Linked DNA regions of Mus musculus. The protein of the gene in region 2 purifies or fractionates together with the protein of the main gene of each other region. This does not show direct contact. Links are inferred from orthologs where the notes say so. Each region holds a gene or a part of one and is shown on either strand. Other genes may lie near its edges. The genes, in order: Nup160 and Spast.

Evidence for each region.
Region 1: the proteins of Spast (region 2) and Nup160 purify together in Homo sapiens (affinity purification with mass spectrometry; 3 studies listed by BioGRID and IntAct, with this or other methods). This does not show direct contact. The link is inferred for Mus musculus from reciprocal best matches to the Homo sapiens genes SPAST and NUP160.

What each region holds. Positions count from the first base shown.
Region 1 is NC_000068.7:90,675,569-90,680,060, reverse strand, and holds the start of Nup160 (nuclear pore complex protein Nup160), read right to left. Parts: upstream 2,847-4,492; 5' UTR 2,591-2,846; intron 2,548-2,590; exon of another isoform or gene 1,048-2,547; 5' UTR 653-1,047; coding exon 553-652; intron 290-552; coding exon 178-289; intron 1-177. UniProt on the Homo sapiens protein: Functions as a component of the nuclear pore complex (NPC). Involved in poly(A)+ RNA transport.
Region 2 is NC_000083.6:74,366,462-74,370,278, reverse strand, and holds part of Spast (spastin), read right to left. Parts: intron 3,032-3,817; coding exon 2,844-3,031; intron 1,452-2,843; coding exon 1,318-1,451; intron 1,088-1,317; coding exon 994-1,087; intron 1-993. UniProt on the Homo sapiens protein: ATP-dependent microtubule severing protein that specifically recognizes and cuts microtubules that are polyglutamylated.

The DNA.
Region 1 (4,492 bases), on a different chromosome or scaffold from region 2:
TAGTTTTTATCCAGGTACGAGAATACTTCTAGAACTGATTCTGACATGAACACGAGACACCGGTTCTCTGCTTGTGTGAGGATTACGGCTAGACGTAGTAACTTGGAACAGGCACAGATATTTACACATTAGACAACCCTCCATCTCTGTAGGGGGAAGGGAAAACGCAGCACTTACCAATGAATGAACCTGTTCCTGGTGATGGAGAACAACTTGCCACTTTCCACATAATAGAAGCCACCAGCGCTCTCACTGTACTTCACCGTTCCAAACGCGGCACTTGCAGTCCCTACAAAATGAATGTGGTGGGCTTGCATGCGCGGTTCTCTGGGGGATGACAGGCACTGAAGAGTGCCGAGGAGCAGAGTGCAAGGGACTGACAGTGCATACAATAGTGAGTGGAAAAGGGAGGAAGAAGTCAGGCACAGGACAAGATGTGATGATGCACAGGCTTCAGGCATGTGGACTTGGATCCACCAGGGGAGACCAAAGGCCTACTTGGGGAGCCCGAGGGAAAGCAGTGGCTCCCATTCTCCCAAGCCCTTTCCGTACCAATGTCGCAGACTGTGAATTCCCGAAAGTGCCTGGGCCTTTCGCGTTCAGCTCCGCTCAGTTCCACGAAGCTCCGTTCCAGGGATCCCGCCGCCGCCATCTTCCCGCCGTCGCCGTGAGGCCTGACGGGACAAGGGCGGGTCACGTCGGCTCGTCACTTCCGGGGGTGTGGCGCGAGGCGGGGATATGTGTGTGCGCGATTTTGGCTGCCTGAGGACCGCGGGTCGGAGGCTCATCTGCGGCTTTTCACCGCGAGAATGAGGCTGAGGCGGGAAGAAGATGCCTTGACTCGCGGTCACTTCGGAGCGGCCGGAGACGGGCGGCGGCTGCGGCGGCGGCGCCCTTTTCCCGACGGCCTCGAGCAGGGGCGGGGCTGTGCGTGTTTTCATTTTGAAAAGCGGGCGCGGGCGGGGAAGAGGCCTGACGGGCACACTCCCAGCTTGCGGGAACCTTCCCCTCCGTTAGAGCGTTGGCGTGTAAGTTGTTATCCAGCCTCTTCATCGTTCAGCGAAACAAGGAGGAAAAGTAAAAGGAAGGAGGGATTCTTTGTGTTGGCATTTTTGCGAAACTTTTTCTTTACACACCCGCATACACATGTATGTGTTGAGATGTCAGCTCAGGTTGGCCTCGAACTCTGATCCTCCCGCCCCAGCCTCCGGAGTACTAGGATTACAGACACTTGCCACTCTGAGCGACACGGGTCGGATGCGTTGAATTAAATATTAATGCCCCAACCTTCTTGAAGTTATCGAAAATACAGTACAGTTTGCAAACGTGCAAGGAATTGTTTGTGAATTTCTTTCTGGGATCGGTCAGTATTCTCTGGAGGTTGAAGATTGATCATTCAGAGCCAGTTTGGGGCTACATAGTGAGACTTTGTAAATGAATGAGTAAATAAATTAAACTACAACTTCAGGCTTACAGCTGAACATGTTCGTTGGCAACTCCATCAGAATCACAACATTGCGAAGTTCCATAATTCTGCCCCAGCAATTGCATTTCCCTTGACCATTTATTGCCTTAATGACTATTTCGTGATTGTCACTGCCCACACCTCTCTTCAGATGCACCAGAAGAGGGCGCTAGATTTCATTACGGATGGTTGTGAGCCACCATGTGGTTGCTGGGATTTGAACTCAGGACCTTGGGAAGAGCAGTCGGTGCTCTTAACCGCTGAGCCATGTCTCCAGCCCTCACCCCCACTCATTCTTAGCTTACTCTGAAGTCGGCCGAGTGGGCATAGTGGCACACTGACAGCAGCTTTTGGAAGCAAGTAGATCAGGAGTTCAAGATTATCCTCCAATTTATGTCAAGATCAAGGCCAGCCTGAGGCTGCCTAAAACCCTGGCTCAAATCAAACAAAAAGCAGCTTTTAATCCCAGCACTCAGGAGGCAGAGGTAGGTGGGTTTCTGTGAGTTAAAGGCCAGCCTGCATTACAGAGTGAGTTCCAGGACAACCAGGGCAACAGAAACTGTCTTGACGTCCCCATTCCTCACAAAAGAAGACAACTTGCCCTGCAACCATATTTTCCTACCAGCAATTATAGCCTTATGCTTCTGTTTCTGTACATTGAACTGTGTCTGAACTTATAGAGAGACACCCTCCCTACCTTGACCTTCGGTCTATTCCTCATTTTAGCATCTTTAATTTTTCCATTTTTACTAAATTACTCCTCTAAATCTCACTAAGATAAAGTCTCCCCTAGAGCCCTGCTAACCCCTGTCCTTCTGTACTTGGCAAAAAGGGAGTTATGTCTGCACTCAGTGGATGCATCTCAGTGGATCAAGATGAAGCCTAAGGTCCTGGTCCCTTGCTTCCATCTAGGTCCATCCTGGTCAATTTCAGTTCAGTTTTCTCTGCCTAATCCTGCTTTCTTCACTCCCCTAGCAATGCTGTTCTGTGAGCACACTGTGTGCTCCTTCCTGTGTGTAAATCTCTGCTTCAGAGACTTTTTTTTTGAGAGGGAAGCTCACACACACACACACACACACACACACACACACACACAATTTAAAAAATATTTTTTTAAAAGATTACCTGTTGTGCGGCTTGGTGGCACACATCTTGAACCCCAGCACACAGGAGGCAAATGCAGGTAGATCTCTGAATTTAAGGCCAGCCTGGTCTAGGTGAATGAGATATGTTTTGGGGAACTTGTTGTTAGTGTCATTTCCCCCACATATTCAAAATCTCTATCAAGGCAGAAAGAATGCAAGATGAACGGGAAGGTGTGCTGTAACGACACTGCCTCCTGGACACAGCATGGTGGCTGCTCTCGTGAGATCATAACTGTGGTTACCTACACAAAAGACAGGGCCTGTCAACATTCCGTGGTGGGGGTTGGACTTTGAGGCCCCATCGCTCCCCGAGGAGCCGTAGGTAAAGTCAGTGGCTGCTGTGAGGGAGGAGTAATTTTCTCCAGTGGTGTATTTGCTGGTTAGTTGCCGGTGCTCCTATAAATAAGACTCCCTCCCATGCTCATTCAAGCAACTCTAATTAAACCCAGTGGGTCACAGATAGAAAAGACATGAAAGTGGAAGAGGAACTAGTTGGGAAGAAGGGCAAAGGAGGGTGATGGGGGGTCCATGATGAAGCTGGGAATAGTGGCCCACACCTGTCATCCTGGGTGCTTGGAGGGTGGAGGCATTCTAGGCTAGTCTCAGCAACATAGTAAGTGTGAGGCCTGCCTAGGTTACATCAAACCCTGTCTCACAGACGTAGGCAGAAGATTTTATTAGAGTGTGTGTTTGCTTTTTTATTAATGTTATTATTCATTTTACAAATGATGGACATCATATGACATTTTCATACATGTACTTTAGCCTACTTTGTTCACATTCACCTGTTAGCAAATCTTGTCCTCCCTTTCCCTCTTACTGTTCCCCTTCCTCTTCCCAAATAATAGTCCTCCCCTCCCCTTTTATGTCATGTATACATATATTTAAATCTAGATTTTGCATTTTTGTGCCTTCCTTTATTAATAATAATGATGATCCCCAACGTAACCATTTTCATTCAAACGATATGATTTTCTTCTTGTTTATGGCTGAATAGAACTTGAGATGTGATGTTTTCCAAGCTTCAAGCTGTCTTTGACCTTTGGTTCATGTTACAGTAAATTCAAGGTGAATTGCAGTAAGTTAACAGTAACACTTTACATTGCCCGAACTTAGTGACTTTTTTTGGGTGGTAATTCGATGGAAATTATTGAATTATTCAGTGGAATAATTTCTTTCAGTGGAAATTAGTGTTATTTTTCAGTGAGCACTTTCAATGTAATTACTTTATTTCGGGGGTTCCAGGAATGTGGTTTCCTGTCATTTGGCCAGTGACTTTCAAAAGTGATAATAGCAATGACTTGAGATCTAGCCACAGTGCAAAGGGCTTATTATTTTTTTCTATTTCTCTAGATTTTTAAATATTGGTTTTTATCTTCATGCTGTTCTATTAATCATAGTAAGTAGCTTTCCAGTTCCTGGAAGCATATTGGTTTGTCCCACACTTATTTTTTCAGTCTTGATTGCATGTTGGGCACTGGGTTATAATGATCCCCCAAAATAGGCTAAGCAGCCAGATACCTTGTCTTTCTTGTGTTTCGAGACAGGGTTTCTCTGTGTAGCCCTGGCTGTTCTGTAACTCCCTCAGTAGACCAGGCTGGCCTCGAACTCAGAAATCCACCTGCCTGCTGCCTCCCGAGTGCTGGATTAAAGGTGTTTCTCCACCACCCAACTAAAATATCTTTAAACACTACAAAAATTTCAAGTTTTCTGCTTTTGAGTTTCTCTCAGTTTAGTGGGGGTTGCAAAGGGGAAGTAGAGATAATGGTAAGGTATGGTAATTATTATACAAGATAGTTACAGTAAAGATATGGCTGAAATATCACAGGACAACCAGGCAAGCAGTGTCTGAGATGCCTGTGTCATGGTCTAAAGATGTTTC
Region 2 (3,817 bases):
GTACCATATACAGCAAACCAAACTTTTTTGTTTGTTTGTTTGTCTTTTCCAAGACTGGGTTTCTCTGTGTAGCCCTGGCTGTCCTGGAACTCACTCTGTAGACCAGGCTGGTCTCAAATTCAGAAACCCGCCTGCCTCTGCCTCCCAAGTGCTGGGATTAAAGGCGTGCGCCACCACTGCCTGGCACAAACCAAACTTTAATTAGTAACTTAATGATTTTCTGTTTCCTTTAATGACTGCAAATATGAGGTAAGCCAGATAGATCCCCACACATTATTCGCTGGCTGTTAATATCCTGGCAAATACACGGAAAATAGTTACTTGCTCTTCAGACTTAAAGAATTATTTTATCTGAATTTCCCCTTTGTTCGGTTATTTTAAGTTTAAGGGTTTTTTGGTTTTGTTTTTCAAGACTGGGTTTTCTCTTTATAGCAGCCCTGACTATGTTGGAACTTGCTTTGTAGACAAGGCTGGCCTCGATCTCATACAGATTTGCCTACCTCTGCCTCCTGAGTGCTAGGATTAAAAGTGTGGGCCACCACTCCTGGCAAGTTTAAAGTTCTTAATTTTAAATCTTGGGACTGGGATATGGCTCAGTAGTAGCCATCTGACTTCTAAAGCCTTAGGTTTAACTTCAGCATGGGGAGGTGGGGAGGAGAAGCAATTTCTAATCTCTCAATTTTTTAATAAAAACTATATCATGACTAACTACTTTTCTCATAAAAGTTAAAAATGGATTCAGAATATCTTACAATCATTTTCATCTCCTTTAAGAAGTGACCATAACCAATGTGAATGCCTTTCTGTGAGGGAGGAGTTAGACAGGTCATGCCGAGGCTGGCCCAGAGTGGCCCATGGAGCCCACAACCCCCCTGCTTTAGCCTCCTCAGCTGATGCTTGGTCCATCTCCAGGCTTCAATGTACTTTTCTTACACTCTGACCTTGGAGTTATTTGCGATGAGTTAGTTACTTGCTAACGTAGCCCTCCCTTACCTCAGGCCGCAGAGAAGGAAGGATGACAATCTCCTGCAGCGCTTGCTTTGCCAGCTCCTGCCCGGCTATGTCATCAAACTTAACAGCTGTCCCACTAGGAAACACAGTCAGTGAGTCTCACAACAGAAGCATTGTTCAGGTACTTAAACGTGGCGTATTAGCTTAACAATCATTTTCATGTTAACAGGAATATTGTTTATTAGCAAAATTCGTCAAAACAACCATAAAAATTAAGTATGAAAGCAAACAAAATGTTTATTATGTAACACATATGTAGTTTATAAATAAAAATAAACAGAAGTTGAAGCACTTGGCTGAACTTACTTGTCAACAATTTCATTCATTATAAGGTTAGCAAGATTGCTGTCCACATTCCTAAAATTTTTCAAGTCTTTCTTTTTCCGAACTGCAGTTGTGGGAGTAGAAGGTTTGTTGGTTCTATTTGGTTTTGGAGTACCCTTGAAGGACACAAAATTTAATGTGAAACAACTTAGTGACTTCTTACTCATAAATCACCGTAAATACTAAGAGAATTTAATAAAAAAAAACAAAGGAAAATATGAAGCTGTGGAGAGGCTCAGTTAGTGGGATGCTTGTTGTACAACTGTAAGAACCTGAGTGTAGATCCTGAGCACTACATGAGGTGGGCATGTGGAGCACATCTCCTGCCAGCTCTCCAGGGCAAGCAGGCAGCTCCTGCAGCCCACAGGCTGCTGCTCTAGCACACTGTGAGCCCCAGAGGTGCTATGGGAAGTGGCTGAGGAAGTTATCTGACATCCACCTCTGGTCTCCACACACAGCAGACTCAAAGAAAAAAAGAACCAAGACTCTAAAGATTATTTGGCCCAAAATTATATTCAATATAGAACGAAATTTGGCATGAAGAGGGCTAATATAATAGATTGTCTCCAGAGATTAAGTCACTATTAAAAGACAAAGTCAAGACAGAGAAATGGCTCAGCAGTTAAGAACTTGTACTACAAAGTTCTAAGGCCTGGAGTTTGGGTGGCTGCATTCACATAACACTCCAGTCACCCTGTGCATGCCTAGACCTAGAGCTCCAATTGTGAAGGCAAGGGAACTGGATGATCACTGGGCTTGCTGCTTCCAGCCTAGTCAAGAGAATACAAGCTTGAGGTTGGAGCACAGACTCTCCTCAGAGGAATAGGCAGACACCCAATGCCCTCTTCTGAGCTTCAACTGCACACACAGGTGTACACACAAACACACACGAATAAATAAATCTATTTTTAAAGCCGAGGACTCTAAAAGAAAAGTTATATAACTTTGATTCTTCCTAGAGCCTTGTCTACAGAGACAGTTCTAGGCTGTCTCAGGGGAAAAATATTACAACAAAACTCTAGATATGTTTAATGTTATAAGACTGATATAATCTGACATCTAAAACTAGAATAAAAATGAAATATACAGAAGTGGAGATATAGCTCAGAGGTTAAGAGAACTGGTTGTTCTTCCAGGGGTCTTGAATTCAATTCCCAGCAACCACATGGTGGCTCATAACCATTTATGAGATCTGATGCTGTCTTCAGGCATGTAGGCACACATATAGTGTAGAACACTATACATAGAACACTATACATAATCTTTAAAAAGATGACAAATACAACATTACACTAAAAAGACTTGGGAAGTAACCAATATAAAATACCTAATTATTCTCAAAGGAACTAAATTAAGGAATTTAATAGCAAGTAGTTTTTGCAAATTCAAAAGTTATATGTAACACTGTGGAAACCAATCAATTCTGTATTATAGAGAACTAATACAAAGCAGCAAGCTTAACCAAGTTTTGTACTTGAAAACACGTTACACTCACTAGTGTAGAGTACCTTATGTGTGGTAGCTGCAGGACCAGGTCCCGGTCTTGCTCCAGAAACCATGGACAAACCACTGCAACTAGGCGCCCTGTGGTGACCGGAGAGCCCTGCGGAGCCACTTTTCAGGACAGTTTTTGATCGAGGCAATGAATTACTAGCATGTGTTAAGGGGTCTTTCCTCTTCGGAACTGCTCCACTTTCTATTAAGGAAAAAAAAAATACAGCCATCATGATTAGAAACTTTGATTGTAAGTATAAAAAATAACAATTAATAATACTTATATAAATAAAACCAAACTACCAGAAGTTAACAATTTTTATTTATTATTATTATGTGTGTATGTATGTGTGTGTCAGTGTGCATAAGTCATGGCAATGTAGAAGTCAGAAGACAACATTTGGGCTTTGGGTCTCACCTCCCACCACGGGGGACCCAGGGTGGAAATTAAGCCACCAAGCTTGTACAGGAAGTGCCCCTATCAGCCAAGTCATTTCATTGACCCATATCAAAGGCTTTTCAATTTAGAAATATCTCAGAATAAGATCCTAGGTAGAAAATAAACCAGGATGCCTTGGGAACAGTTTGAAAGAAGAGATTTGGTTATTAGGTTTACCCTTTCCTGTTGTAGATTCTAGTTTTCTTTTTTGTTTGGTTTTTTGAGACAGGGTTTCTCTGTATAGCTGTGGCTGTCCTAGAACTCACTCTGTAGACCAGGCTGGCCTCGAACTCAGAAATCTGCCTGCCTCTGCCTCCCAAGTGCTGGGATTAAAGGCGTGTGCCACCACACCCAGCTACAACTTTATATTCTTATAAAACGAAAATCTTATTAATAATGATGTTTACTATAAGCCAGGCAAGTAGGGCGGTTCAAACTATAATCCCAGTACTCTTGAGGCTGAGCCAGAAAGACTGCCATGACTTCAATAATAACCTGGGCTACATATGAGTCCTAGGCCAATCTGGGCTACAGAGTGTGAAACTATCT